Diceros bicornis minor: one gene and its partner. The protein of the gene in region 1 interacts with the protein of each later gene in a pairwise test. Links are inferred from orthologs where the notes say so. Each region holds a gene or a part of one and is shown on either strand. Other genes may lie near its edges.

Region 1 (7,065 bases):
CGCTCCTCAGGCACCCTGGCAGGTGGTGGGCCCGGCCCCGCCACCAACAAACCTCTGACTCGGGGGCTGGGGCTGGAGTCGTCTGTGGGTTCCACGTCGTCGTACAGCTCGTAGGTCTCATCCGGGGCCCTGCGGAGATACCCCAGGTGAGGGCCTCCTCCGGCCACACCACCTGCGCCCGCGCCCCTCGCTCCCCACACTCACTTCAGCGCGTCGGCAGACAGACGGGCCTGGAAGTGGATCCCAGTGGAAGAGTGGGTCCTCCGCAGAGCTGTGGGGAGATGGGAGCAGCAGGGAGGCGGGCAGGCACCGCCAGGGAGCCCCTGCCCCTTCCTTGCCGCCTGTGCCGCCCTGACCCACCTGTGGCCGCCGCCGAGGGTCTCCGAAAGCTCTGGATGTCCCTAGGGCCCGGGGGCAGCGGGGGCTTGGCTGGAGGGGGTCCCAGGATGCTGACGGAGGGCAGAGGCCTCCGCCGGGGTTTGAGCCCCAGCCTGGACCCTCTGCTAGGAGTGAGAGCCCCCGACCTCTGCTGCCTGGCTCCAAACCCTGGGCTGAGCGGGAACCTGGGGCTGCAGCCCGCCACGGCAGTGGGCAGTGAGCTCTCGGAGACGGAGCCAGGGAGCGGGGGCTTCCTCGGGAGACCCCCGAGGAACTCAGCCTGCGTGTGCTTCTTGAGCAAAGTGCTGGGCTCAGGCTGTGAGAACTTGCGGGGGGGCCCCCGGACCTCGAGCTGCAGAAGATTCCTGGGGAGCAGGCTGACCTCGGGCTCCGAGGAGGTCCTGGGGAGGCCGCCCAGCTCGGGCTGCGGGGGCTTCTTGGAGAGCGCTTTGAAATCGGACTGCTGCGGCCTCTTGGGAACCACACTGACCTCAGGCTCCGAGGACGTCCTGGTGAGGTCACCAAACTCAGGCTGCGGGGGCTTCTTGGGGAGGCCACTGACCTGAGGCTGTGGGGGCTTTCTGAGGTTCGCATTGAACTCGGGCTGCGGAGGCTTCTTGGGAAAGGTACTGAACTCAGGGTGCGAGGGCTTTGGGGTGGCCTCATTGGGCTCAGGCTGCCGGAACTTCCTGGGGAATGCACTGGATTTGGGTTCTGTGGGGGGCCTGGCAGGGTGGCTGAGCTCAGGCTGTGGAAGCTTCTGGCCAAGTGCGCCGTGCTCAGTCTGCGAGGTCTTCTGAGGGGCCTCACCAGCCTCCGGCTGCGGGGGCTTCCTGGGGAACAGAGTGGCCTCAAGCTGTGGGAACTTTTTGGAGAGTTCGCCGAACTCGGGTTTGCAGGACTTCTTGGGCAGATCAGCAAACTCAGGCTGCGGGGGCTTCTTGGGGAGACCAGGGAACTCAGCCTGCGGGGGCTTCTTGGGGAGATCAGCGAACTCAGCCTGCGGGGGCTTCTTGGGGAGATCAGCGAACTCAGCCTGCGGGGGCTTCCTGGGCACTGCACTGAACTCGGGCTGCAGGGGCTTCTTGGGGTGCTCGCTTAGCTCAGGCGGCGGAAACTTCTTTAGGAGTTTGTTGAACTCAGGCTTTGGGGGTTTTTGGGGGTGTTCACTGGTCCCAGGCTGAGAGGCCTGGAACTTTGCTTGAAGGGTCCGAAAGTCCTGATGGCTCCCCTAGGGGACATGGAGCCAGTCAGGCAGGGACTCAAACACACAGGGGTTGTGGAGAGACAGCCCTGGGGACACACCCCCTTCCCTAGGCTCCTCCTTTTCCCCACCCTCTGCCCTTGGCCCTCTTCTCTGTTGGCTGAGGACTCCCACATTCCATGGGCTCCTGTAAACTACACCCTCCTGACCTCTCTGCTTGGGCTCCGAATGCGCACCCAACCTCCCCCCTATCAGCGCACATTCCCCCCATCAGGACCCGATTTCACCCCCATCAGGACCCGACCCTCTCCCCATCAGGACCCGACCCCACCCCCATCAGGACCCGACCCTCTCCCCATCAGGACCCGACCTCACTCCCATCAGGATCTAATCTTCCCACATCAGGACCTGACCTCACTCCCATCAGGACCCAATCTTCCCCCCATCAGGACCCGACCCTCTTCCCCATCAGGACTGGACCTCCTCCCCATCAGGTCCCAACCTCAACCCTATCAGGACACAGTCTTCCCCCCATCAGGACGCGACCTCACTCCCATCAGGACCTAATCTTCCCACATCAGGACCCGACCTCAACCCCATCAGGACCCAATCTTCCCCCCATCAGGACCCAGTCTTCCCACATCAGGACCCAATCTTCCCCCCATCAGGACCTGACCTCACTCCCATCAGGACCCAATCTTCCCACATCAGGACCCAGTCTTTCCCCCATCAGGACCCAGTCTTCCCACATCAGGACCCAATCTTCCCCCCATCAGGACCTGACCTCACTCCCATCAGGACACAATCTTCCCCCCATCAGGACGCGACCTCACTCCCATCAGGACCTAATCTTCCCACATCAGGACCCGACCTCAACCCCATCAGGACCCAATCTTCCCCCCATCAGGACCCGACCCTCTTCCCCCCATCAGGACCTGACCTCAACCCCATCAGGACCCAATCTTCCCCCCATCAGGACCCGACCCTCTTCCCCCCATCAGGACCTGACCTCACCTCCATCAGGACCTGACCTCAACCCCATCAGGACCCAATCTTCCCCCCATCAGGACCCAGTCTTCCCTCCATCAGGACCTGACCTCCCCGCCATCAGGATCTGACCTCACCCCTTCAGGGCCTGAGCTCCTGTCCGCCCTACCTCCCTCGGCCCCACCTGCTGCTCCTTAGCCTCCCCCTCAGTGGGTGGTGCCTTCCTTCTGAGCATCCTCGAGATCCCCTCGTTCTTGCACCCCCTAGGTCCCCAGTCCTTTCTGTTCTCATTTCAAAATACCTCCGGAATCCAACCACTTCTCACCGCCTGCACCACTGTCACCACTGGAGGAACTTGCCAGAAGCACTGTCCCCCGTTGCGTGGATTATTGTAACAGGCTCCTCCCTGGCCTCCCGCCCCCCACCCCATTCCTGGTCAGTCCCCCCACAGCAGCCGGGGGAAGCCTGTTAACCATGAGTTGGCTTGTGCCTCTCTGCTCAAAATCCGGCAGCCTTCCTTCCTCTTCCTAGGAAGGCCCTGAACCGTCCATCCAGCAACCTCTACCTGGTCCCCAACTCCTCCTCCCTCCTCCTCCTCCCCCCCCCCGCCCCCCCCCGCCCCTAGCCTGGGACACTTCCCCCCACCGCGTGGTTCTCTTCCTCCTCCTCCTGCTCCACTTCTCTGCTCCAGTATCTCCTTATTAGAGAGGCCTTCCTCCCAGACCACGCTAATTTAAAAAAAACAATTCCCCCTTCCCAATACTCTCCATCCTCCCCAACCTGCACGATTTTTCTCTTAGCACCTGCCGCCCTGTATCATACTATTTATTTCACTCATATGGCTTTTTAAATGAGCAACTCGGCTCATTCACTGCTGTCCTCCCAGTGCCTGGCACCCAGTCGGGGCTCCGTCAACATTTGCTGAAATGAAGAATATACACAGGGCACAGAGACAGGCGTCGACTCAGCCATGTCCAGCCTGCCCCTCACGGACTCATGTAGACGGATGCAGAGAGACACTGAGAGACCTGGGGGCAGATGTGGGTGTGGGGTCTCTCTCTGAGGCCCAGACACCCAGGCTGGCGGTCAGGGGCGCTCACGGTCGACGGCACCCCTGGGGCCCAGCATGCAGGCCCCCATGCAGCCTCTGTGGCTCATGCAGTCTGCCCTGGGTGCCATCGCGACCGGCCGCCAGCGGTCACAGACAGGCAGAGGCACATGTATGCCAGGCCTGCTCTGCCTGACAAATTACCCCCGAGGTGGCCCCGCTGCAGGCCCCCAATCTCCCCCGGGGTCAAGGAGATTGGGGGAGGGGAGGGGCAGAACCATGTGGACTGTGCCCCTGTCTGTGCCTCGCTTTCCCCATCCCGAGAACAAGGAAGGTGGCGACTCCTTTCTGGGGCCTGAAATGCCTCTGTTAAAGCCCCACTATGGTCGGGTGGTCGGGTGGTCGGGGCAAGGGCTCCCAGGTGACCCACAGGGCCAGAGAATCAGGGTCAGCAGGTCACCTTGGATGACTGCCGGGGTCGGGGGGGCAGCAGGTGCGTAACCCAATTTCTCATTCACAGGAAGCCCCTGTACTGCTCATCATAGCTGCCTGCTACCCACTTGCTCTTCACACGGACATGGGGGAGGGGAGTAGTCCCGGCAGTCCCCCTGTCCCCCTTACGGTCGCAGGCTTGGCCTGGACCATAGCCCCCCGGAGCACGAGGTGTCCCAGAGACGTGTCTTGGATGCTTCCCACCTCTGGGCCTTTGTGACGGTCATTCTCGTTTTCCAGACGGCTTCCTGCCCCTCTCTGCTGCTCCCCTCTTGGAACTCCCCAGTTTCCACCCACAGCACCCCTTGCCTCCGGCCCGTGGGGGCCCTCCCAGGGCTTGGGGACTCACTCACCATGGCTGCAGGCGGGTGGTGGGCCGTGGGGCGAGTGGGACCCGAGCCGGGGCTGCTGCCTTCAGGAAGTGACTGTGGCTTTTGCTCCACGGGCCCCACGAGGTGGGGGCTGCTGGCGGGTGGGGAGGGCAGAGGAGGAAGGAAAGGAGGCGGAGACAGCCCCAGCCTGTCCCTAGATCCTGTTGGGCACTTCTTAAGCCCCTGCCTTGCCTGCTACTGTCTCCACGCCTGGTGCATCGGACGGCAGCACATTCCCAACCCAGTCACTAGTTTCTCGACTCTGCTGTCCCCCTCACTCTCCGCTGACCTCTGGGCTCCACCGGGGACTCTGTGTCAGGCCCTCAGGACCTCCTGCCAACGGAGGCAGGCCAAGGCCCGCTCCAGCCAGGGCCTCCACGGGAGAGGTGCTCAGTGGGGGAGGGGCACAGTCAGCTCCAGGCGGGGAGACCCAGGAGTCGGGTGAGTGTGGCGGGTGAGGCCCTTCTGGCTCGTTGCCTCATCCGCCTTCGTCATTTCAACACTTCCCCGCCGTCCGATTCCCCAGTTCTGAACAGGACTTCCTTTTTATGTCACACGGACTGTGGATGGCTGTGGCTGGGCAGAGGGCTAATTGGGATGGCAGATTTGGCGTTGGGTGGGTGGGTAGTGTCCACGGCCTTGCCCCTTGGGGAGGGAGGGAATCTAGGGCACCCCAGGTTCCCAGAGGACAGAGGATGGGAGGGAAATGGAGATGGCTGGGAGGCCAGCGAGGAGGGGGTGAAGCTAATGGGCAGGACCATCGCTGTGCGATAGAGTGTGAGGCCCGGCCAGAGAAGGGCTCAGGCCCCAGGAGGTCAGTGACCTCGGGCACACAGATGAAGAAGGAACCCCTCCCCCGCCCTGGAGACAGCAGAGGCCTGATTCTCAGTTTGGCTCTGCATCAGATCACTTGAGGAGTTTACACAAAGACAGAAGCTCCTGGAGATTCTGACCAAATTGGTCTGCAGTGTGGCCTGAGCCTGGGGATTTCCTAAACACTCGAGGGGGGATTCTAACTCACAGCTAAGCTGAGAAACCTCGAGACCCCACTAAGTGCAGGTCCATGGAGGGGCCTCAGATTCCAGACCATCCCAGGTGAGGCTCATGCTGCTGGTCCAAGGATCACACCTGGAGTAGCAAGGATGTAGATGTTTCCAGAAGGATCCGGAAGGATCCAGTTGAGACAGAGAAGGAGGCTCATTTGTCTTGAAGAGCTCTTCATTTACCTGCCCTGCCACGAAGGCCACAGGCAGCACAGTTGGAAACAACCTTGCCTGCTTGTTCCTATGTCTGCTTTAAGAGCACAGCTTGAGGATTCTGGAGCCGCTGTGCCTGTGCCTCTCCATTCCTGCACCGACACACACGCATCCTGGGCCACATTCCCAGATGTGGGTCCCACTCCAAACAGGAGTCCCGGAGGCCAAGGATGACGAGGTCTGAGTCCTCGGCACCAGTCACAGGCTGACTGACCCTCCCAGTGTGCGGTGAGGGGAAGAATGAATGAAGAACCAGCGATTATTGGCCGAGAGCACACAGTAGGCGCTCAGTCAAGGTAAGCTAAAGGGCTGAATGACCGCTAGTGACTCCCCAGGCACTCTGTGGACACCCCCCGCCAGGAACTCGCAGATTGGAGGGTCCCACCGGGCAGAGCCCCTGTGGGCCGGGCACGCAGGCTCCCGGCTCGGCCCCCAGGGGGCGCGTCCCCCCCCACTCCCCGTTGCGTGTGTGGCGTCTTCGTGGCGGCCGTGAACGTGGACAGGCGGCTCCACTTGGAGCTAGGGAACCGGAAGCCCAGAGAAGGGAGCGCGGGCCAGGGTGCGCCTTCGGGTCTTGCGGGGGTTCGTTGGGGCGAGCGTCTGAAACTGCGGGCCAGGGAGGGGTGTTGGGGTTCCGAGCGCGCGGAGGGAGCCCAAGCTGGTGTGCCCCATCGCTGCGCCAGAGCCAAGGGCGGCGACAGCGGCAGCCAGGGGGGCCGGGCTCAGACCCACGTGGTCCGAGCGCGCGGGGGGGAGGACGGAGCACGTGGGCGGCCGAGCCCGCCCGCGGTCGCGGAGGTGTCGGGAGCGCGGGAGGGGGGTGCTCGGGCCCGGTCGGTAGCAGGGTCCGGGGACGCGCGCCCAGGAGCCTTCACCTCCCCTCTCCCAGTCAGGGGGGAGGGTAACCGAGCCGGCCCCCACAGGTGATGGAGCGGGCGGTGGCCCCCCTCATTCCTTCTCCCTTCAGACTGACACTCCTGGGCGCCCTCTGCTGGGCGGAGCCGGGCCCCGAGAGCACTCGGCTTGCAGGCATCCTGGAGTTAGGGTGAGGGGGGACCCTCTGTGGAGTCAGAGCTGGGCCAGAGGGAGGGCAAGGACAGCGGGAGCCCAGAAGGGGCACTGGGAGCAGTAAGACCTCCCAACTGAGCGGACAAAAGTTGGCAGGGGTGAGGGTCAGAGGTGGTTTTCCGAGTGGACAGGGTGCCCAGGCCAGGTGGTGACCCAGGCTCCCTAGGCCTCGGGGCCGTTTCAGCTTGCCCCAGAGGGCAGCAGGGGGCTGTGGGCTTCTTGTATCCATGGGAGGGGCTGCTGCATCTACGTGGGTGATGG
Region 2 (7,262 bases), on another chromosome or scaffold:
AAACATATATAATATATGGGGGAGGGTGTTTTTTGTTTTCAAACAAAAATGAGATATTATATATACTATTGTGCTCCCGGCTTTTTAGTCTTAAAAGTGTTATGGACACTTTCCAAGCCAAGAAACACAGATCCATCACATCTTTCTTAATGGCGGCAAAGTATTCCAGAAGATGGATAATCATTCAGACCATCACCCCACCTTTCTCAACTCATGGACATTTAGGATGGAGCCTTGTACATATACTTCATGTCCCTTAATTTCAGTAACACAGATTCCTAGAAATGGGGTTTCTGGGTCAAATGAGACATTTTTAAATGTTTAAAAATTTATCCTTAAATAAAATTAATTTTAGACCTTCAGAATTTCTGTTCCTTTCTTCATTATGCAAAATATTGGCATAAACCTTTCACAATGCTTTGCATATTTTATTTTTAAAAGCACACACATTATGTCAAAAAATGCCCCTGTCAGTTATGCTTGTAGTTATAAATTAAAAAATGCTTAAGTTATGGCTGTGATGGCCAGCGTTAAATCACTGTGCAAATGCTCGTGCCTTAGTTTATGAAAGTAGTAATTCATTGTGGAAACTCCACCCCCACGGCCATGTGGCAGCACTAAAGAGGCAGCTCTCTCACCCTGTGACTCCCTCCACTGAGTGACAATATAGAGATCAGGACCTACATATTTTCTAATTGTCAACAGTTAACCTTAAAAAGTGTGTGGGGGAGGAGACAAGTAAACAGCAACAGACAATAAACTGATAGTCATTATGGGTTTCTAATATCCACAAATTATTTGCAGTACAATGAATAATTCTGCTGGTCTACACCACAGACTGTATTCCATAAAAAACAAAACCTATAACCAATATGTTGCTATGATTACATGAACCTTTCAAAAACATATTCTTCAAACACTTTTCAATAGAATTATTGGTCGAATCCCCTCTTTACATTTTTTCCTCTGCTTCAGATTCACTCTAATCGCAAACTTTAAGAAAAGGCCTTAAAGAAATACATTAACCAACCAACAAAGCTCATGAAAATTTAATCTCAGACTCCTCTATATATTCTAAAGACCCAAGAACCTACAGACATTGTTAAGACACAGCAAGTTTGATACAGAAGTATGTGACATGCAATTAATCTCCATTCATACCCTGCTCCACTTGTCAGCAAACAAAGGTTCTGCTTTAGAAGGAGATCTGAAGACTTCAATTAAAAACAGTCAGCTAACAAGAAAATAATCTAAGCTAAAGGAAGGTGGCAGGTGCAGAAATGAGTTGTTTACCAAAGTGTCAGTTTTGAACAATAAAGAACTGCACATCAAAAATGATGAAGGAGTGGATTTCATTGCAAGCCTCTGGAAAGAAAAAGGAATTTTCTACCAAGGCTGCACACAAAACGGTAGTATAGTTTAACAAGCTTGTAAAATAGGTTTCCTCTCATCAAATGACAGATACCAATAAAAAGAATCACGTTATATCTTTAAATGCAAGGGCAGAATTACACTTTTTGCCAGTTCCTTCTCTTCTGGAAACCAGACACTTACAGCCTCTCTTTACATATCAAATATTGAACCAATAGCAGAAGGAAAAGTTGGATTGCTTCTTCCTAGACACCCAGATGATGCTCTTTTACCCCGTAAATACTTTTCTCCTCTGGAAGTTTAGATTTACTCAGGTCATAAGTAAAATGGATTTTGGAAACTTCACCTCAAAAGAAATACCTAGTTGACAGCTTTTACATAGAAGCAATCCAGAATGGAAACAGTGCTACAAACAGAGACCAAAAGGACTTGCCAAATATTTGATTAGGAGGCATTTATACCAAGATAACAAGGTAATGGAGATATAAAACCAATTAAATTGAGAGAAACTGAAAAAAATATTGCTTGCCAAAAGTATGACCTGCCCAAAGCAGGCCATCTGTTAAATATGTGTCAAAAATGTCACTTAGATGCCAAAAGGCTTAACTCTGAGCAGCTTCCTCCGGGGACCCTTATGCAAGCACAGATTCCAAGTCTCTGTCCTTCCCAGAAGGTCAGTTACAGGAAAGCAAGTTACTTTCACCAGAAAAAGTGTGAACCGAGCAGACGATATTGCCCATTAGCTAGAAGTCTCTTTGGAGTGTCAGAAGAATGTGTGGATTGTCAGTGAGCATGGCCTTAACTCTTAAAAGGAGTGCTTAGGCACTGTAGTTTGAAGGTGAACACACCACAGTGGGGCACTTCTAGAAAAGTAAGAAATGTAGTACTGAGTATCAGCCTGCCCTGGGTGGATAACAAGACCCTAGAAGTCTTCCGGCTGGTGACACAGGCGTGGGGTGTCGGCGCTGACAACTCACAACTACCCCCAGGCCTTGGCCCACAGGATGCCATGAGCCCCTCGCAGCCCCTCGAGAGCCTCAGGGAGCTCTAAGCAGAAGGTGAGGGTCTTCCGTGAGAGGTGGCGGGGTCAGGGCTAGGGAGGGCGGCGGGTGAAAACCCCCAGACCTAGGGGGAGTCCGGAGGAGAAAGGGACAGGCTGAAGACAGCAAGGTGGCAGAGAGGACCAGGAACCTGTCCTGGACTTGTTCAGAAGCCAGGGAGGTTAAGTGGAACGCCTTGAGGGAAAAGAAAGCGTGGAACTGAGCGGAGTGAAAGGGCCCCTGAGGCGGGAGGATGAAAGCCTGGCTTTGCAGGGTAGAAGACTCTAGAAGCCTTGAGGTTCTAGAAGTTGGTGAGTGATGGAGCTGAAAAGACAGCCCGGCCTCGGGAGCCCCTGGCGTCTCCTTTCCTCCCTTCGGCTCAGCACTTGGGGGAGCAACCGGACGGTCGGGGAGGGGGCCTGGCCCCCGGGCAGGGGCGTTACCTTGCATGAGCCAACAGATCTCCTCCGGGAGGACGGCGGCGGCCTGCATTTGGCGGGGCGGTGGGGAGGCCGAAGTGGGAGGCGGGAGGGGGCCGTGAAGGCCCGGTGCCGAGGTCGGCGGGCGGGCAGGCGGCGGGTTGCCGGCGGAGGCACCTGTACCTCTGTCGCCGCCGCCGCGGGGCCGAGCCGCAGGGCGGGGCCGGGCACCCGGGCGCGCTCAGGAAGTGGCGCGCGCGGCGGGCGGGGGGCGCCCGGGGCGTGGGGGCCACCTGTGCGCGCGCCACTCGCGCCGGTGCACTGAGGGGGGGCGCCGCATCATGCAGGGCCAAAGCTGTGTCCCTCCAGGACCCGCCCACCAAAACAAAAGACTTCACGCGACTCAAAGGGACCTCGTCTCTTGGAGACTTCCCATCCGAAGCACTGGACGTCGGCCTCAAGGGGCAGGTTTAAAAGCCACCGTGGTGCACTAAATGGGGCGCGAGGAGGCAGAATCCGAGGAAGAGATTAGTGCCTGCCCAGCGTTGCAGCACTCAATTCCCAGTCCAGTTCGCACGTCCACGCCCAGAAAACCAGGGTAGAACGTTCGCTATCTCAGGCAAACCACGATGTTTAAAGGGAATGACCTTAAATCTCCATAAGTAATGTAAACCCACCAATTCTGGGAGAATCAGAGCTGCATGGCTGCAGTGGACACGGGAAGCCCAAGTGTCCCGTCCTCCCTAAGGCTGAGAGGATGTGAGGACAGGAAGGGGTAACCTGGGGAGAAAGCTCAGGGAGAGGGGAACGGAGCCCTTTCCCCCTCAGAGCTGACAAAGAGAGGAAAGTCAAGGGCAAGATCACAGAAAAGACCTCCCCCTCTCATTCAGGGGACAGCAGGGCTCAGTGTCGTGGTTGTGCTATGGTGCTGCAATACTGCGAGATGTTACCACTAGGGGAAACTGGGTCAAGGATAGACAGGATCGCTCTGTATCATTTCTCATAACTTCTGTGAGTCCACAATGATCTCAAAATAAAGAGTTTACTTTTTAAAAAAATACAATAGGCCAAGTGCCACGAAAAAGGAGTAAGGTGCAGTGGGCAATAAAATGAGGGAGGTGAATATAAGAAAAGGAGGGAGAGGCCGGTCTATGTGTATTTAACAGTGCATGTGGCTTTTGAGGTGGGCTCTGAACACACCAGACTTTGAAGGGGCAGGAGGGCTTTCCAGGGGGAAGGACCAGAGTAAACAAAGATGCAGAAGCCTTCTCCTGCTTGAGGAATGGCTAATAACCCTCTTTTACTGAATGGTGTAGGGAAATTATGGTTGTCAAGAAAAATTGAAGCTCTATTGTGAAGGGACTTGAAAGTCAAAATAAGAATTTTGAACTCAATTGAGTGGGCACTGAGGAGCCATTGGCAAATTCTGAGCTGGGGAGTGGCCTACCCTGAGCCCCCATATAGTGTGTGACCTTGCCTATCTCGCTTCACCTCTACCGTTTCCCTTCTTTGTAAAAAACGGAGCTTCTATTCTCAGACTCTACCTACAGAGTATGTGGGAAGGTTTGGGAGTGGTAGGGGAGAGGACACGGGGAAGATGGGGTAATGGTTTTTACAGCAGCCTCAGGGGAAATAACAATGGAACCGTGGATAAGGGGACAGGAGCGGCAAGGAGAAAGTGTCCAGAAGAACTCCTGGTAGCAATGCTTGCCTCCTGGCATGGTTTCCCCTCCAGAGATACAGTCTCACGGTTGGCAGCTTGAGCCTTTAAGGGCTGCAGTGACTTTGAGCCATCTTTATGAGCCTGTGCCCTGCAATCTGAATAGGAGTGGTGCCTTGGTTTCAGGCTCACATGACCCACCCCCAAGTTGCAGCAAATTGGGGTGGGAGTGAGGGGACAGAGGCTGGCAGGAGTTTCTGGGGACTCTGGCTCCTGCTGCAACTTCTTCTTGCCCTGGGAAAGTTAACGGTGGACAGGCTGCCTCTTCCAGGCTCTGGAGCAATTCAGTTCTCCGCTAGGGCGTTTATACCACACTCACTGCTCCTTCTATAAAATTGTAGCTGCTTTGGGATGATTTTTGAGTACTTACGGCATGTGTTTAAAAAACATGAGAAGATCTATGGCAACTCTCTGCACTATCATCACAATTTTTCTATAACTCTAACTGTTCTGAAAAACAGCAAGGGAAACAAAGTCCCTCCTGTGTGTAACCCCAGCACTTTGCCTTGCTTTCCCTCTCAGCAATGGAAGGAAATTTGACAACCTCCACTTCTTTTTCAAGGATATTGGTCAGACGCTAACATAGGCTACAAGCGAATGAGTTGTTTGATAAAGACCAATAAACCCAGGCAATTGCACATCCTCTCAGGCCTCACTGCCTGTCATAGCTTACTTATACCGAGGGAAGCAGCAGAAACTGGTGGCATGGGTATTCTACATCCATCCATACATCTGGGTTTTAGAGAGACGGGGTAGAGGGAGGTACAGAGTTGGGTAGTGTGCAGTGGGTGACTGGCAGATTCCAATACGGCATTGTCATGTTGCATCAAGGTTCCTCACTGCAGACAGAAACCTGCCTCCACACATGAGCGCAGCCCCTCCTTAATCATCTGAGAACCCTGGTTCAGCAGTCAGCCTCACTCCTAATGACATTCTGTTAAATGGACAAATTCCTTTGAAGCCTTGTCCTTCTTTGAAATCCAATTTCGCAGGAAGCCAAATCTCATTGGGGGTAGCCATGGAAACCACACCAAGGAGTCTTAGAGGAGGTGGAGAGAGGCAAGGCAAAATGTGATAGTCAAGGGTCCCTTTACTGCTCTGTCGGAAATATCAAAGGGATCCAGAGAGGCTGGCAGCAGACGAGTCCCTGCCCAGGTCCTGTTCTGTGTGGCTGCGTACCATGTGGCTGTCATGGAAGTAAGCAGCCAGCTGTCTCTGCACACAGGCAGGGGGATGGAGCAGAATACACAAATCCCAGGTCTGTCTGCTTCCCTCTTCTTCCCCTCCCCCAGCCCCAATTCCAGCAAGATCTTAGCATCCTCTTCTTAGCTGACTGCCTCGCAAAGACAAACAACAAAAGAATGACAAGGTTAAAATACAAGACCCTCACAGATAAGAGGTCCTTTGGAGCAGAGGCCATGAAATTAATCTGAAATTCCTTGTAATTAGATAAGATAAGGGTATCTAAAGAGATGCAGAGCAGCCAGGAATGGAGTCCTGCAGCACAACATGCAAGAAATATACCGCCTGGTCCACCAGGGCCCCTCACACACTGTCAGCAGACAGAAGACACAGAAAACAGGGCCCATGCCAGCCTCTTGGCTGCTTAGAGATGCCGTCTACATGTTCTCATGCCAGGTGGGCACTCACTAAATATGCATCCATGGGGTGTCCAGAGAGCTCAATCAGGAAGAAACAAAAGCATCTGGCACCCAGAATGGCATGGGGTGGGAACAACGGCAGGCAAAGCAGGAGCCGGCTGGCACTGCTCCGCCCTGGGTGCGATGGGTCTAGAGAGGAGACTGCGGAGGGCAGGCTGTGGGCCTTTATTCCAAGCTGGTTATTGATCTCTGGATGCTGGGTCATGACACGCGGCAGAGCTGACGTCTGCCCTGTGGATGTGCGGCCACTGCATCTCAGCCCCTTGGTCCCAACCCCATCAACCAGGTTTATTGACTCTTTTATTGACGATGCTGGGGCCTAATGAGGACAAGAGCTGCACACTTCATTAAGGGCTGTGGAAGGAGAGATGATGTGTCCTGCCGGTGCCAAGAACCAGGCTCACTGCACGCTTTGCAGGGCTCCGGAAACCAAGCCTCATGCCACCCCTGAGGCAGAGGAGACGGATACAAGATGCTCACTTGGGTGCATCACTTCAGTGGCCTTAAATGCAGGGTTTCCACAGCTTGCCAGAAGCCTTGCTCTTACTCATTAGCTAACCTTTCAACTTAGGAGGGTCGTATTACACACTCTCACACAAATGCACTTCGATGGTCTCCCCTTTCAGCTCACACGCCTCGATTCTCTGCACTAATACATACAACAAAATAAGCGGTTTCTCATGTCATATCAGGGAACATTCCCAAAGCAGGTTCTCAATGAGGCACAGGCTCAGATCAGAACGAAGGATTATTAAAACTCCACAGAATCTTCAGGGTGGTCAAATTCAAGATGAGGGACAGACCCAGTGCTCTGCCCAGGGCTACCCAGATCACCAGGGGCTGCATGGCATCAGAATCCTGGTTCTGTAGCGCTGGTCCAAAGCTCTTGTAGAACTGAACACCTGAGATGGGTAACTATAGCCCAGGGATCACTGAGCAGCTCTGTGAAGCAGTCATTGCTTGTCCTCCTCCATCTTAAATGTAACATTTCTTTCTTTGTTCTTTATCTTATCTTTCTATCACTCCCCTTATTATTTTTCCCTATATTCCC

Evidence for each region.
Region 2: the proteins of PRAM1 (region 1) and SKAP1 interact in binary tests that used the Homo sapiens proteins (3 or more experiments, as listed by UniProt). The two-hybrid records come from large-scale screens. The link is inferred for Diceros bicornis minor from reciprocal best matches to the Homo sapiens genes PRAM1 and SKAP1.

The regions. Positions count from the first base shown.
Region 1 is NW_026691615.1:234,927-241,991, reverse strand, and holds the start of PRAM1 (PML-RARA-regulated adapter molecule 1), read right to left. Parts: upstream 3,015-7,065; 5' UTR 3,000-3,014; coding exon 2,871-2,999; intron 1,610-2,870; coding exon 361-1,609; intron 272-360; coding exon 205-271; intron 130-204; coding exon 53-129; intron 1-52. UniProt on the Homo sapiens protein: May be involved in myeloid differentiation. May be involved in integrin signaling in neutrophils. Binds to PtdIns(4)P.
Region 2 is NC_080757.1:37,527,901-37,535,162, reverse strand, and holds the start of SKAP1 (src kinase-associated phosphoprotein 1), read right to left. Parts: upstream 3,019-7,262; 5' UTR 2,904-3,018; coding exon 2,855-2,903; intron 1-2,854. UniProt on the Homo sapiens protein: Positively regulates T-cell receptor signaling by enhancing the MAP kinase pathway. Required for optimal conjugation between T-cells and antigen-presenting cells by promoting the clustering of integrin ITGAL on the surface of T-cells.